Elephas maximus indicus: one gene and its partner. The protein of the gene in region 1 purifies or fractionates together with the protein of each later gene. This does not show direct contact. Links are inferred from orthologs where the notes say so. Each region holds a gene or a part of one and is shown on either strand. Other genes may lie near its edges.

Region 1 (8,750 bases):
AAGTGTTGATCGTGGATCCAAGTAAAATGAAATCCTTGTCAACTTCAGTCTTTTCTTCATTTACCAAGATGTTACATATTGGTTTACTTGTGATGCTTTTTGTTTTCTTTATGTTGAGGTATAATTCATACTGAAGGCTGTGGTCTTTGATCTTCATCGTAAGTGCTTCAAGTCCTCTTCACTTTCAGCAAGCCCGGTTGTGTCATCTGTATAATGCAGGTTGTTAAGTCTTCCTCCAAACCTGATGCCCCGTTCTTCTTCATACAGTCCAGCTTCTGAGATTATTTGCATAGGACACAGACTCAATTGGAAACCCTGGTGGCATAGTGGTTAAGAGCTATGTCTGCTAACCAGAGGCTGGCAGTTCAAATCCACCAGATGCTCCTTGGAAACTCTATGGAGCAGTTCTATTCTGACCTGTAGGGTCACTACGAGTCGGAATCGACTCGACGGCAACAGTTTTTTTTTTTTTTAACAAGCTCAATAAGTATGGTGAAAGGATACAACCCTGATACATACCTTTCCTGACTTTAATCCACCCAGCATCCCCTTGTTCTGCTCGAACAACTGCCTCTTGATCTATGTATAGGTTCCTCACAAGCAAAGTCAAGTGTGCTGCAATTCCCATTCTTCCCAATGTTATCCATAATTTGCTATGATCCACATAGTCAAATGCCTTTGCATGGACAATAAAACACAGGTAAACACCTTTCTGGTATTCTCTGCTTTTAGCCAGGATCCATCTGACATCAGCGATGATGTCAGTAAAATTTTGCTGAAGATCATTCAAAAGCAGTTGCAGCAGTACATCAACAGGGAACTGCCAGAAATTCAAGTCAGATTCAGAAGAGGACGTGGAATGAGGAATATCATTGCTGATGTCAGATGGATCCTGGCTGAAAGCAGAGAACAACCAGAAAGATGTTTACCCATGTTTTATTAACTATGCAAAGTCATTCGACTGTATGGACCATAACGAATTATGGATCACACTAGAAAGAACAGGAATTCCAGAACACTTAATGGTGCTCATGAGGAACCCACACATAGATCAAGACGCAGTCATTCAAATAGAAGAAGGAGGTACCATGTGGATTAAAGATTTCAGCAAAACCTTGCTTGCTGACATACAAGGGGACTTCAAGCACTTGACTACAGCCTCCAGTATGGATTACACCTCAACATAAAGGAAACAAAAATCCTCACAACTGGACCAATAAGCAACATCATGACAAAGGGAGAAAAAACTGAAGTTGTCAAGGGCTTCATTTACTTGGCTCCTCAATCAATAACCACGGAAGCAGCAGTCGAGAAATCAAACGATGCATCATATTGGGTAAATCTGCTGCAAGAGACCTCTTTAAAGTGTTAAAAAATAAAGCTATCACCTTGAAGACTAAGGTATGCCTTACCCAAGCCATGGTGTTTTCAATCGTCTCATATATATGCAAAAGCTGGGCAGTGAATAAGGAAGAAAGAAGAATTGATGCCTTTGAATTATGGTGTTGACGAAGATTATTAAATATACCATGGACTGCCAAAAGAATGAACAAATCTGTCTTGGAGGAAGTACAATGTGAATGCTCCTTAGAAGTAAGGATGGCGAGACCTCGTCTCACATACTTTGGACATGTTATCAGGAAGGATCAGTCCCTGGAGAAGGACGTCATGCTTGGTAAAGTAGAGGGTGAGCAAAAAAGAGGAAGACCCTCAACAAGATGGATTGACATGGTGGCTGCAATGACGGGCTCAAGCATAACAACGATTGTGAGGATGGCGCAGGATCAGGCAGTGTTTCATTCTGTTGTGCACAGGGCTGCTACGAGTCAGAACCAACTTGACAGCACCCAACAACAATGCTTTATCTCGTATTTAGGCCAGAGCTTTCAAGAACATGATTCTAGTATCAGATTATTATCCAGTTTTTGATCAGGGTGTAAAAGCGAAAAAAGTGCCAAATTTAAGCACGCAAGCATCACCTGTCACTTTATAATTTATTGGAATTTCCATAAATGGTATTTAAAAAGAAACGAATTTATAGGTGGGCACTTTGAAAAATATATCAAGGTTTCTGTGGTGTCCTTTAAGCCAATTACGTTTTTTATTTTGTAGCTGAATGCCATTTTATATAATTTACAATACCTCTACAATGAAGGTAAATACGCAACTTGAGAGTTACATTCTCAAAGACCTAGACCAGAGCAATAGGAACGTTAATCAAGGCTCAAACGTAGAGTCGTGAACCACTGTCTATTAATAGAGAATGGTGTAAATGAAGCTAAATAAATGGTCTAAAAGGCATTTTTTTTCTTAATGGCTTTTCAATGACAATTACACCGCCCTCCCATGACCCTGAAGATACACAGCAGTCAAAATGGCACATTTTGCAACGTTAAGTTTCATGTTCAGAAAAGCTTGATGATTTAAGCACCCACAGAATGAACATCTCTGACAACTATTTTCATCTAGGGATAGAAGGCTTTTGTTATTGTCCTTACTTGCCATCTAGTGGATTTCTGACTCGCAGCGACCCCGTGTCACAGTGTAGAAGTGCTCCATAAGGTTTCCTAGGATGCAATCTTTTTTTTTTTTTTTTAGCCAGGTCTTTCTCCTGCAGAACCACTGTACGTGTTTGAACCAGATCTTCGAACCTGTTCTCCCCAGTTCAGTCATGGCCAACCACGGAAGGGAAACCCAAAAGGACCTGGATTTTTTAAATGTGGGTGAAGCAGAACGGGAAAGGTTATGGGTGAAGCCCTGCTAGAAACTTCAATCTCTCTCTTAGAAAACAAGGGCAACCTAGCATTGCATAGCAACCAAACCTGCATAGCCCTGCAGAGTCCAAGAAACAGCAGATGGCAGGCTGCTGCAAGACGGCAGCGAGGTGCCACTCTGAAGGTGGGTCCAACTCCACAATTCTACCAATCATCCAATCTCACACACCAGTCTCCTGAAAGGGGTCACTTCGCCTCTTCTGAGTCCCATTCCAGGGCCTCGACCTGTAATTTCTTCTGTTCTATCCTTTTTTTTTTTTTTTTTTTTTTTAATCCTAGGGTTCCGCTTCACCTCAATTTTAATAATTTAATAATAATTTAAATAACTCGGGCAGAACTAGTTCAAAGCCCTAGTTCCGACTGCCAATCTATTAGCAGCTCCGCGCTTAAGCAGAGCTTCTAGGATAGAATGGTAATAGTTTAAATTATTGGAAAAGACAACAGAAAGTAGCCGCACCACTTACCAGCTTACAAGCCAACGCAGTTAGTATGCATTTGCCTTTCTCTGACAAACTAGCAACGTGCTACTGCCCTACACGCTACACTGGCCGCCAGCCCCCAGCAAAGTCCCCCCGAGGCAGGCACCGCTTCTCCCCGCCTTTCACGAAGCAGGTGGGGGGCGCCGGGCTCGATCCGCATTCAGAGCCCAGAGTCTACCTCCACCCCGGCCAACGGCGCCGCCCCAGCAAGTCACAACAGTTGAGAGTGGCGCCCGCCATCGCGCCCCACCTCCCCCTCACCCCTTAGCGCCCATTTTGGCGTTGCCCTGGACGGACCTCCCGGGCAAGGGGCCCTGGCTCTCACCAGGTACTTTCCGTCCGGGGAGAACTTGCTGAGCAGGCCGGACAGCTTAAAGACCTCGGAAAAGTTCATGGCAGCCGCCGCCCCGAGGGCCCAAGGGCCGGGGTCCCGCCTCAGCAGCCCCCGGCGACGAGGCCGCCTCTGCTGGAGAGAGGCCGGCGGACCGAGGCCGTGCCCAGGCTGGACCCGCACCCGCAAGCCAGGAAGCCCGCCGGCCCGCCCAGGTCCGGGTCTGACTCTCAGGGTCAGCCTCCGCCAGGCCGCCCACCGTAGCCGCTGCGGTTCCCAACCGCGGCCCGCCGGACTCCACAGCCGGAAACCCGGGGAAGGCGGGAAGCGAGCACAGCCTATCAGGGCCCCGGATGGCCGCACGGCATTGTGGGACTTATAGTTCACTGCAGCTCCGCGCGCTGCGCCTTAAAGGAGCCAGTCCACACTTCTCCCCGCCCGGAATTTCCGAGCCCTACCATCGACTCGACGGCAATCGACTCGACAGCAATGGGTTGATTGGTTTGGGTTTACCCCAAAGGAGGACACCTTGGTGGCCTAGTGGTTACGTGCTACAGCTGCTAACCAAGAGGTCAGCAGTTCGAATCCACTGGGCACTCCTTGGAAACTGTATGGCGCGGTTCTACTCTGTCCTATAGGGTTGCTGTGAGTCGGCATTGACTGCACGGCAACAGGGTTGGTTTGGTTTGCTTACCCCAAGGGATGGTGGTCTCAGGGCGTCCTCTACAGCTGGGAATGGCAGATAAAATGCAGGACTCCCAGTTAGACTGAATTTCAAGTAAACAAAGAATAATTTTATAGTATAAGTATGTTCCAAAATATTGCATGGGAGAATTACTCATTTATCTGAAATTCATATTTAACTGGCTGTCCTGCATATACATGTGCATATAAGTATACCCAAGCTCCTTGCCATCAAGTGAGTGTTGTGTTTGAACCCGTTGTTGCAGCCACTGCCACAATCCATCCTGTTGAGGGTCTTCCTCCTTTTTTGCTGACCCTCTACTTCACCAAGCATGGTAATATATTTATTACGTTGCAGCAGTTCACTGACAGGGAACTACCAGAAATTCAAGCTGGATTCAGAAGAAGACTAGGAATATCATTGCTGATGTCAGATGGATATTGGCTGAAAGCAGAGAACCAGAAAGATGTTTACCTGTGTTTTATTGACTATGCAGAGGCAGTTGTCTGTGTGGATCATAATAAATTATGGATAACATTGTGAAGAAGGCGAATTCCAGACACTTCATTGTGTTCACAAGGAACTTGTGTACATAGACCAAAAGGCAGTTGTTGGAACAGAACAAAGAGATACTGAATGCTTTAAAATTAGGGAAGGTGTCAGTGATGTATCATTTCATCATATTTATTTAATCTGTATGCTGAGCAAATAATCCAAGAAACTGGACTATATGAGAAGAACACAGCATCAAGATTGGAGGAAAACTCATTAACAACCTGTTCTATGCAGATGATACAACCCTGCTTGCTGAAAACAAAGAAGACTTGAAGCACTTACTGATGAAGACCAAAGACTAAAGCCTTCAGCATGGGTTACACCTCAACATAAAGAAAACAAAAATCCTCAGAACTGGACCAATAAGCAACATCATGATAAACAGAGAAAAGACTGAAGTTGTTAAGGATTTCATTTTTCTTGGGTCTGCAATCAAGGCCCATGGAAGCAGCAGTCAAGAAATCAAAGGAAACATTGCACTGCACAAGTCAGGTGCAAAAGATCTCTTTAAAACGTTAGAAAAAACAAAGATGTCACTTTAAGAACTAATGCGCGCCTGACCCAAGCCACAGTATTTTCAATTGCTTCCTATGCATGTAAAAACTGGACAATGAATAAGGAAGATGGAAGAATTTATGCATTCGAAATGATGGTGTTGGGGAAGAATATTGAATATACTATGGACTGCCAGAAAAACGAACAATCTATCTTGGAAGAAGTACAGCCAATGCTCCTTAGAAGTGAGGATGGCTAGACTTGTCTCACATACTTTGCACATGTTATCAGGAGAGACCGGTCCCTGGAGAGAGACTTTATGCGTGGTAGAGGGTCAGCGAAAAAGAGGAAGGCCCTGAAGAAGATGGATTGACAGGGTGGCTGCAACGATTTCCAGGATGGGGCTGGACGGGGCAGGGTTTCAGTTCTGTTGTATACATAGGGCAGATATGAGTCGGAACCAACTGGGCGGCACCTAACAACGTTTATTATGTATGTAATATATAATAAATAGGTGCTATTTATTTTTGACTGAATCTAGCCAAAACCGTATCTTCAGGGTCACCCTCATCTCACACTCTGCTCCTATTCGGATCTCGAAGGGAACAAATTCCACCCTGACACCGCAGAGCGCGCCTGCGGATCGCGCGCAGCCCTCTCTCTACGCGGGTGGGAAATGAACACTTGGTCCAGAGCCTGGCTTCACCAGCTTTGCCCTCGCTCCCCGGGGCTGCTTTGTCCTCTGGCCCACTCGGAAACTCCGACCCTCTTTCACCAAGAGGGCACTCCTCGGAGCAGCCATCCTCCCCCACACCCTCACCCACGCGGGAGGTTAGTCTCTGGGCTCCCACGGCGCCTCCGCGGCCCACCAGGTCGCGCGGACCCTAACACCCATCACTCGACCCTGAGTCGGGGAGAACCGAGATCTGGATGTAGTCCACATCAGGCCTAGCCGCAGGCTTGCCCCTCCCCCTTGGACAGCCCGCAACCATCGCCTAACGAACGGATGGGGGGATTAGATGCGTGGGTCTTGTTCGGCGTTGCTGGCCTTTTCTGTCCCCAACCAGATCCAAATCCCGGTGCGCGATCCGTCTTTGTGGCCCACCCCCTGCGCCTAGCAAACTGTAAAGCAGGTACACGATAAAGGTGTGCGGAAGCTGCCCAAATCGGCGTGACAGGCAGGTGAGGTGCGGCGTCCGGAGCGTCGGGAGAACCAGGTCTGCACCAGCCGGGATCGCGCGAGACGTCACGGGAGGTATTGACACAACCTTTCAGGGCGCGGCGGTCACCTCAGGCTGGGGCATAGGCTCGGAGCCCGCTAACAGGGCCCAAAAGTTCCAGAGGGCAGCGCACCGCAGGATTTCCGCCGCCGAGAGCTGATCAGAACTGGTCCTGCGTGTTTGGGTGCCTCCCCAGGCCAGGCTTATCAAGACGGGGGCCTTGGTAGCTCCCACCTGCCCTGGGGCGCTGCCCCGCTAGCTGAGCCGCAAGTGTAGGCGGCCGTAGGGGCTCCCCGGCCTCACGTAAGGTGGGTCCGTTCCGAGTGCACGGGGACATGGGGCCGTGGTCACCCGCGCCCAGCCGCACAAACCCAGAGCAGAATCCAGCCTCCCAAGCCTGGAAGCGGTGGCCTGGGGAGGGAGCAAGGTGCGGGAGGCTACTCTCTGGTGGCTCAACCTAGCCCGGGAAGAGCGCGCGGGCTGGGGCTGGGAGAGCCGCGACCGAGAGCCCCCAGGATCCGCAATGCCCGGCAGGGCCAGGGAACGGAGTGACCTCGGCGCGCTGTAGTGGGTGGTGGCAGTCTTTAGCCAACAAGGGCCGCTAGTGCCCCCAGACACAAGCTTCTCCTTTGCCTCCCATCTGGCCCCGGGACCCAGCCTCGCACCCCGGGCCGGGCGGAGCCGCGTGCGTGCCCGGTGCGGACTCCGGCAGAGGTGCCACTATCCTGCGCTGGGGGCGAAGGACGACACTCCTCCCCCCACTTCCCTTCCAGACTCCCTGCGCGCCGCGGGGCCGGGAGCCTGGGGCGGGAGTAAGACCGTCGGGACGGTGCGGGAGGCTCGGGCGTCGGCGCAAGTGGTGGCCAGGAAGGATTATTGGGGCGTCAGGGCGCGGAGCCGGCGTCTATGCCCCACCACGGCACCCGCGCGCGCCCAGGCCAGCCTAAGGGAGGCCCCGACCTAGGTCCAACTTGCGCAGACGACCCCGCTGAGTCTCGGCTGGGCGGTGCGCGCCAGACACGGGCGGGAAGGAGGCGCCCCTGAGGCCGGATCCCGCTCTGCAAAGGCCAGCTGCGAGGGCGGAGCGCGAGGAGACAGCCTCGGCCGGGGACCCGCCGCCGCCCTGTCCCGCCTCCCGCGCGGCCGAGCCCGCGCCGCCTTCCCGCCCGCAGGCTCGAACAGCGCTAAGGCCGTGCCGCCCCGCCCGCGCCCCCTCGCCGCGCCGATATAACCCGCGCGCCCGCCATTCTGCCTCCCGTCCGCCAGCGCGTGCCCGCCGCTCGCTCCCGAGCTTCCCGCCCGCCGGCCGGCGTTAAGGCGGGAGCTGAAGCCCGGCCAGCGCCAGGCCACTCGGCGCCAAGGCCCGGGCTCCGACCGCACCAGGTAGGCAGCGCGGGGCCGCGAGCCGGGATACGGGAGTGCTCCACCTGCCCCGCGGGAATGCAGGGTGGCCGCTGGGGCTGAGGCTTCTCAGCCGTGGATGGGGCACCGGGAGACCGGACGCGAGCTGGGGAGTGGATGACACGGGGCCCTCCAGAGTCTGACCGGCCCCAGCTACCGGGAGCCGGGCCCGGGAGCGGGCCTGAGTCGAGCCCGCGAGGTGATAGATGCAGGTCTGCCGTCAGCGCCGGTAGCAGCCCTTAGGGCAGGAGCAGCCCTCCTGTCAGCCTTTTCTGCTCCAGCCTCCGAGGGACGGTTCGGGATGCAATACCCGGCAGAGGCCAAGTCAGGGGGTGCCGGTGGGATTGGAAGTTCGGAACCGAGCGTGTCACCAACAAACTCCTCGCGGCCCGGCGCCCACTCCCTGAGCCCCACGAGGGCTGTGCCAATCTGGAGCCGTGCGCTTCCCCCCCACCCACCCCCCCGCGGGAAGCCAAGTGGGACCTAGGTCCTCCTCTGGAGGTAGAGAGCGGACAGGGGCTTTGACCTCTAGGCTGGACCCGTGGAGCGATGGAGCCATTTGCTATGGAAGTTGCTACAGTTTCCAAAGGCATCGCCCCCGCGACGCTGGGTTTGGCAGGGGTTGCCCGGCCTGGTCTAGAGTCTGGTCTCCAGAGCCTGTTAATGGAGATGGAGGCCAGGTGGAGGAAGGAGGGGACAGATTTAGCCTCCTGGCCAGCCTGGAGACAGACAGCTCCTGGGTCCCCACTCCTTTCCCTCCTGGTCCTGCTATGACTTTCCTTTTAGCATTTAAACTCCTTGGGAGCTATT
Region 2 (8,350 bases), about 92 Mb from region 1:
GTGTCAGATCCAAAACTTTACTCCAGAGAATAAGAGGGAGGGAGGGAAATGTTTGAAGCAAGAGTTAATGGAGGAAAACTGTAGATTATTATTATAGTCAAGTATGTTCTGTTTAACTGGTTGCAAGCTTAATTTCTATTTAAGAACTTATTTGAAAGACATTTTATGTCTTCTCTCATCTCAGAATTCTACATTGTTAAGAGTTTGACATTTTTATGCATTCAATGATACTTAAGATTCTGCGTTGCATTATAACTGTGTTATTTCTCCTACTGAATTGCAGGTTGCTTGAAAATGGAGCTGTAGCTTATGGCTCCTCCTTCAGTTTTAAAAGTAGAAGATACTCAATAAAGTTTGTCATATGAATAATTATTTCTGCTCTCCCGAAATCTGTGGGGGCTACAATAAAATATTTAAGTCTTTAATTCCTGTGTAGGGCTGCTGTCTCTCAGATATTACTTGGATTCTCTACATTCGGGGCTCTTTTGGATCACTCAATTACTAATTTTGATGGAAATATTCACCTAAAGTAAAACTAGAAAAACTATCAACAAACCCATTGCCACCCAGCTGGCTCCAACTCATGACAATCCTCTAAGTGTCAGAGGAGAACTGTGCTCCATAGGGTTTTCAATAGCTATGAACTTTTGGAAGTAGACTGCCAGGCCTTTCCTACAGGGTGCCTCTGGGTGGATTCATCTTGCCAACCTTTCAGTTGGTAACCGAGTGCAAATCATTTGCACTACCCAGAGACTCCTACCTAAAATAAAAATCAATTATTATTCCCCCGAATAAAACCTTTCCACGGTTCCCTATCACTTCCCAGTCAAAGTTCACAGTCCTGTTCTCCAACCTTATCACTAGCCCATCGAACTCTGCTCCAACTCTACCACCAAACCACCTGTAATGCTCCAACTGTAAATGCTCTAAGAACTCCCCCTCCTCCCTGTCAAGACATGGATGCCATATGGGAAGGCTTTAGAAAAAGAAAGAGAATTTGAACTATTTTTCATGTTTGCTCTCTCCCTTATTATGCTGTAAATTTCCTAAATTTACAAGATAACATTCATCTTTTTATCCTCAGATCTAGCAAGCAGCAGCTTAATTACATGTTCAGCAAATGTTCACTGAGAATAACTCAGTAAAGTGTAATTTAATAAATCTGGTATTATATAAAATAGTAATACTGGCCCACTATCAAAATAAAATTTTAGATTGTTTTCCATTAGCTGTAATGAATGGTTCACTTCTCTAAATTCTATCTTATTCCATAAGTTCCTGAATTCAAGGTAACTTGCACCTTCATTACCAGCAAATCATGATCTCCAAAGCCACAGAACATATTCAAAGAGTATAAAAAACTTTTTGTGCCACGAGCAAACAATCTAACCAATATTTTGGAAACCCTACTGGCACAGTGGAAACCCTGGTGGTGTAGTGGTTAAGAACTACGGCTGCTAACCAAAAGGTCGGCAGTTCGAATCCACAAGGCGCTCCGTGGAAACTCTATGGAGCAGTTCTGCTCTGTCCTATGGGCTCGCTACGAGTTGTAATCGACTCGACCGCAACGGGTTTATAGGCAAATTTACAACTATTGTGAAAGATACAGAAAAAAATCACAAAAAGCTTTGGAACTGCTCCACTTTAAGTATGTGAAATGAATTCCAACCACGCTATTCTGGGACAATGTCTTTTTCATCCTTTTACCCCTAGATGCATACTACATAGAAGGTACTCAACTCTCTACTTTTATAAAACCCATGTCATACTAGTTTTGGCCAAAGAGCAGGCTCTGTCAGGTTTTAGGAAGGCGCAGTATATAATCCTGACTTTGTGCTGGCCTTGAGGCCTTTGGCAAATCACCTGAACAGTTAACATTCTATTTTTCTAATATACACCCTCAGCATGTTTGGAACATAACGTGCTTTAACAAGTCTTGTCACAAGGTGCAACCGTGTTACAAAGAGATCTTCATAGTTCGTCCCGGAATATCTAAGTCTCTGCAGTTACCTTCAAGCAGCTTTACTCATGTTACTTAATCCCAGGTTTTATTATCTTCATTGTACAGATGGGGAAAGAAAAGGGAAGGAAGGGTATAAAATGACTTGGCTCAAGATGCCCAGCAAGTCACTGAAGAGCCTTCATTTTAACTACCAGTTTCTAACTTTCTTCTCAAAGAACTATTTTGTTTGAGAAACTTATAGACAACAGGAAGAAGAGTGTCAAATTAGTTACCAGCTTTTCTTATTTTAGTTTGAATGAATAACCTAAGCTTCCTAGGATGTACATTATGTCTGCTCTAGCACAAGAGATTTGATGGACTGTTTTGTTGGCTGAATCCAAGTTCATAAATCTACCTCTTAACTTCTTCTGCAGCCCTGGTGGCACAGTGGTTAAAGCACTCCACTGCTAACCAAAAGGTCAGTGGTTTCAATCCACCAGCTGCTCCATGGTAGAAAGATGCGGCAGTCTGCTTCTCCAAAGATTTACAGCCTTGGAAACCCTATGGGGCAGCTCTACTCCGTCCTATAGGGTAGCTGTGAGTTGGAATCCACTGACAGCAGCGGGTTTGATGGGTTTGGGTTGGCCTAAGCTAACTCTATAGGGTCACTATGAGTCAGAACTGACTCAACGGCAGCCGGATTGGTTTTTGGTTTTGGTAAGCAAACTCTAAAGGCATTTGTTTTTTTTCTCTCCAGATCTCTAATTCTTCTCAAATTTTATTCAGTTTCCTAAATGTGTCAAGTCATACCTTCCTTTCCAGATCGGAATCAAATTATAAAGCTGCCAAAATTTTCTTCTATCTATCTCAACAGTATACCAATCCCTCTTGAACCATGAAGGGCTCCACTGCATGCATCATTCACGGCCAACTCCAGGCCTAGACCCTAATCGAAATTGTTTGGGAAGCCCCCACCCTTGCACTTCTAAACCACCCTTTGAGGAACGATTCTTCTCATCCTGAACCCGTTATGGGGTCCAAAAAAGGGAAACCTCAATTTTCCCAGATTTAACAAGAACTGTATTATCACTCTTAGAAATTACACCTTAGCATTCACAATCCTTAAAACGTAGTAATCTAAAGATGCCCTTATTACACACACTGAGACAAAATCATGTAGCAGATTCCATTTCTTGGGCCCAAGTGACTTGCATAACCGAGCGATAAGCTAGGCTCAAAAAGGTGCAGAGAGCTTACAATCCGGTTTACTGTACTTTACTACAAAATTCTACATCAAAATGTTTTCCCCCATGCCTGCAGACAGATGATGTAAGTTCTTCCCCCAGACTTTTAAGTAGACCATTATCAGGGTTCGGGGTTCTCTTCCCCTGCAATAGCCACGGACCATCCAGTAACTCACTTTAACGACTGCCTACTGCGGCTCCCATTAACAAATCCCTAGCCCCGCATTGCCCACAGCCTCTAGTAAGCAGGCACTGTAGCCCCAAATCAACCATCCCCTCCTCCCCCCACGTCTCCGCGCCGTTCGTCATCCCACTCCAGGCGCCACCCTTTTTCCATCTCGGAGAGGGTTTTGGACTCCCTGGCCGCGCCCCGGGCCGGAGCCCTCCTGAGAGCGCAGCGCTGCGATCACCAGCGGGAGCCGCTACCTACCTCCCACCTCCTCCGCCAGGCGCGGCTGGGCAACGCTCACTCGCACCCTCCAACGGCACCAACGGCCGCACGGAGCCTCTCGCGGAGCCGCGGGGCGCCGAGCCAGGTGCCGGCTCTCACCTCCGCGCCGCACCCGCCCGCCCCCCGCCCCGCCGGCGCCGCCCGCCCCTTTTCGGGCCGGCGCGTCACAATCCCCGCCGCGGAGCAGAGGCCATAGGCTGCTCACCGTCACGGCCCCCGGGAGCGGCGGGGAGTCGCCGCTCGGCGTCCTAGGCCGGCTCCCACAGCCCCGAGGGCCAGAACAGCCGCCTCGGGACGCACCGCCTTGGGCTGGCGCCCCTCCTCCGCCTCGGGCTCCCGCCTTCCCCGCCCCTGGGCCGCTCCGCTCCGCCCCTCGCGGCCGCCTCCCGGCCTCGGCAGGTTTGCAAGGTTCCCACCCCGCCCCCTTGCCGCCGTCGCCGCAGGCCGAGCTGCCTCCCATTGGCTCCGCCAGTTGCTAGGCGATGAACAACCGCGGCTTGCATTGGTCCGGTGGGGGCCTCCGGAGTCTCCTCCCCACCTCCAAAAAAACCCAGAGAAAAAGAAAACCTTATCCCTAGAGCCGGCGCAGGATGCGGGCGCAGCTGCGGCTGCGGCACCTGTTACGCCCTGGGATTCACCCGGCCGTCCCTGTTCCCCGCCCCCAGCTCGGGGCCAGGGGCTCTGTGGGGGAAGAGGCCGTGGCTGCTTGAAAGCACGCTTTCGGAGCCCGAGTGAACCCCAGCACCCATCCTAGAAGCAAAAATGCAAGCTTCCAGAAGCGCCACGTGAGTTTGCAAAAGTGAAAAACTAAACCAAACAACAGCCGGCACCCAAAATTAGGTCCGGCCCAAGGGAAGGAAGGTTTAAGCGTCGGGAATCATGGATGCAAACAACCTAAAAGCGAGAAAGTTATGTGTAAAATTAGGCCCAAGAAATTGACCAAAGCGGAAGACAGCGCGCAAAGAGAAGAATGTAAGAAATGGCACTCTTGAACTAGAAGTTTATGCAAAACGTCCCACCCACTCAGCAAAATATGTGCAAAGAAAATATATGACTGCTGCGCTCGTTGGCAGAGTCGAGTCGGCCCCTCCTCCGTTCCATAAAAAAAAACCAAACCCACTGCCGTCGAGTCGATGGAGCCTAAAATTCTCCAGGGAAGGAAAAAGGCAGGAGAAAGAAGAGATCACATGGGGAAATCGCAGGCATAAGAGGTTGAGTAAAAAATACAAAGATACACTTCTATGGATTTTTTTTTTTTTTAGTGAAACCAAAAGGTTTTTATCTAGAGGGGAAAAAATAGGTTTTGTATTTTAAGGAGGCTCTTGAGAGCACTTTGAAACCAAAATAGTATAAGACAAGAACAAGAAACACGAAAGAACTGAGGCTAGAAGAGGGTATCTGCATATCCCTAATCCTGGAGGAAAGGGCAAGGCAAGAGACGAGCACACCTCGGTGACAACTTCAAGGCCCAAAGAAATCCTCTTTGCCTTTGACCTAAGCGATCAGGCAGCTAGGGTAGATGATGTTGAGCGTTGTGAATGATAGCAGATTAGCCGGTGGAGAGTTCATTACTCTTAAGGACGGTTTACACAGAGCTTGTGGGGAGGGCGAGCGGAGAGAAAATTATTACCTTGCTCCTTAACCTAGAGCACTGATGGGAGGGAGGGGTTACCTCTGCTCCCAAGAAGAGTTTTGCAATTTCAACTGTCCACCCCAGAAGAACCCACCCCTTTCCCATCTTTGAAATAGCACTTAAGGTTTCATTTTGACCATTTCACCTCCCAGGGGCTTCAGTCAAGATCTCCCTAGCTAGAAGAATTGAGATCTATTAATTCAATAAGCAGCATCTGACACACACACCTGCTTTGTGACTTACCCACTAACAGAGTCAGATTTTAAGAAGGTTTGGGGCAGTTCAGGTGAACCCCAGAAAGATTAGCTTCCTCCCAGCCCTAGGGATGAAGATCTGTCTGAATAAACCAGGGGTTCTCAAACTTTTGGTTTCAGTATCCCTTAAAATTATTGAGGACCTCCGAAGAACTTTTGCTTATGTGGGATATAGCTACTGAAATTACAACTGAGAAATTTTACAATATTTAAAATAACGAGAGTAACAAACTTACTAACAAATAGCAAATTTTATTAAAAATAACTTTTCCAAAAAAATTAGTAATGAGAGTAGTATTTAAATATTTGCAAATATCTTTAATGCCTGGCTAAATAGAACGCATCTGGATTCTCATCTGCTCCCACATGCACTCCATGGCATTATTTCAGGTAGCCTCTGGAAAACTCTGCTGTACACTCCGGAGAGAATGAGAATAAGAACGGCAAATAATGTCTTAGTGTATTCATAAATACTCAGCTGCCAACCAAAAGGTTAATGGTTTGAGTCCACCCAGGGGCACCTGGGAAGAAAGGCCTCGTGATCTACTTCCAAAAAATGAGCCATTGAAAACCTTCTGGAGCACAGGTCTAGTCCAACACACAGGAAGTTGCCGTGAGTCGGAATCGACTCCATGGCAACTTTTTTTTTTTTTGGTATTGTAAGAAAACTAGTTTTGACCTCACAGACTCCCTGAAAATGTTTTGGGGACCCCCCATGGTTCCTTAAACCACGCTTTGAGAACCACTAATCTAAACCTGTCTTGATACTTTGTCTCTCTCTATTTGAAAAAAAATTTTTTTTGGTTTAGGTTTAGGAGCTGAGCATGTGACTCAGTTGTGGTCAGTACATAATGGGGAGTGAGAAGTGAGGGTGGGGAGATTCAGGAAAAGGGTATTATCCCTGAGAGCCATAAAGTGAAGTCTTTCACTTAGTTCTTGGCCTTGCCTAGTCTCCATTGAGCAGGAGGTTTGGAGCTATGAAGGCATCCTGCAAGGATGAGAGGAAAACAGGAAAAACAAAAGGCAACCAAGACCCCAGACATCACTGGATGGCTGAATAAAGTACCCTTGTCTGCATACCTCCAGACTGCTCATTATGTGAGAGAGTAAATGATCTATTGCTTAAGCCGCTTTGGGTCATACAGTTACTTGCAGCCACGAAGATCCTGACTGATAGAGTGGATTTTATTATAATACCAAAGGATAAGAAATAATTTTGCTGTGGCCTGAAAATAGTCAAAAGACGCTTTGGACTAAAAGAAACTCGACTTGATAGAACTTTGCTGTGGTAAGGAAAGATAAAGGGGCAAGATACAATCTAGAAACAAATGCCTTCTTTTGCTGCTTTCCTCACTTTTAGCAAAAGTAGGAAGGTGTGGCTATGAAGTGTTGTTTTTTTCAAAACACATGAAAACTTCCAGCCTTGCTCCTCTAAAGTCTATTCTCATCATATCACAGTGTGCAACGTAACTCTTAGTTATGTAGCGTGCCTGTAACAAATACCATAAATAGGTGGCTTTAACAAACAGAAATTTAGTTTCTCACAATTTAGGAGGCTAGAAGTCTGAATTCAGAATGCCAGCTCTAGGGGAAGCCTTTGTGTCTCTCTGGGCTCTGGAGGAAGGTCTTTGTCTCTTTGAACTTCTGCTCCTGGGTGATCTACGTGTGGCTTGACATCCCTTTTTCCCCCATCTCTCTTTCCTTGATCTTAATCCTTTTATGTTTTTAAGAGATTGGCACAAAACATACCCTACACTAATCCTGCCTCATTAACGTAACAAAGACAACCAGTTCTCAAATGGGATTATAACCACTGGTATAGAGGTGTTTTTTGTTTTTTTTTTATAGAGGTTAGGATTTACCACACGTATTTTTGAGGGGACACAATTTAATCCATAACAGTAATTTTATATTATTTTTATTTTTTTTTATTGTACTTTAAATGAAGTTTTACAGGACAAACTAGCTTCTCATTAAACAATTAGTACACATATGTGACATTGGTTAGCAACCTCACAGCATCTCAACACTCTCCCCTTCTCGAACTTGGGTCCCTTATTAGCTTTCCTGTCCCCTCCTGCCTCCTAGTCCTTGCCCCTGGGCTGTTATGTCCCTTTAGACTCATTTTGTTTTATGGGCCTGTCTAATCTTTGGCTGAAGGGTGAACATCAGGAGTGACTTCAGTGCTGAGCTAAAAGAGTGTCCGGGGGCCATGCTCTCAGGGTTTCTTCAGTCTCATACCAGTAAGTCTGATCTTTTTGTGTGTGTGTGTGAGTTAGAATTTTGTTCTACATTTTTCTGCAGCTCTCCCCAGGATCCTCTATTGTGATCCCTGTCAGAGCAGTCAATGGTGGTAGCCAGGCACCACCTAGTTGTGCTGGACTCAGTCTGATGGAGCCTGTGGTACTTGTGGTCCATCAATCATTTGGACTAATCTTTCCCTTATGTCTTTGGTTTTCTTCATTCTCCTCTGCTCTGGACAGGCTGGGACCCGTGGAGTATTTTAGATGGCTGCTCACAAGCTTTAAGACCCCAGACGCTACTCTCTAAAGTGGAATGTAAGAACATTTTCTTTACAAACTATGCTATGCCACTTTAGCTAGATGTTCCTCGAGACCATGGTCCCCACAGCCCTCAGCCCAGTAATCTGATCACTCAGGGAGTTTGAATGTATCTATGGAGCTTCCTGGAAACCCTGGTGGTGTAGTGGTTAAGAGCTATGGCTGCTAACCAAAAGGTCGGCAGTTGGAATCCACCAGGCGCTCCTTGGAAACCCTGTGGGGCAGTTCTACTCTGTCTTATAGGGTTGCTATGAGTCAGAATCGA

Evidence for each region.
Region 2: the proteins of WRAP73 (region 1) and SSX2IP purify together in Homo sapiens (co-immunoprecipitation; 4 studies listed by BioGRID and IntAct, counting the BioPlex papers as one, with this or other methods). This does not show direct contact. The link is inferred for Elephas maximus indicus from reciprocal best matches to the Homo sapiens genes WRAP73 and SSX2IP.

What each region holds. Positions count from the first base shown.
Region 1 is NC_064821.1:42,308,988-42,317,737, forward strand, and holds the start of WRAP73 (WD repeat-containing protein WRAP73), read right to left. Parts: upstream 3,892-8,750; 5' UTR 3,648-3,891; coding exon 3,579-3,647; intron 1-3,578.
Region 2 is NC_064821.1:134,037,053-134,045,402, forward strand, and holds the start of SSX2IP (afadin- and alpha-actinin-binding protein), read right to left. Parts: upstream 3,993-8,350; 5' UTR 3,843-3,992; exon of another isoform or gene 3,617-3,842; intron 1-3,616. UniProt on the Homo sapiens protein: Belongs to an adhesion system, which plays a role in the organization of homotypic, interneuronal and heterotypic cell-cell adherens junctions (AJs).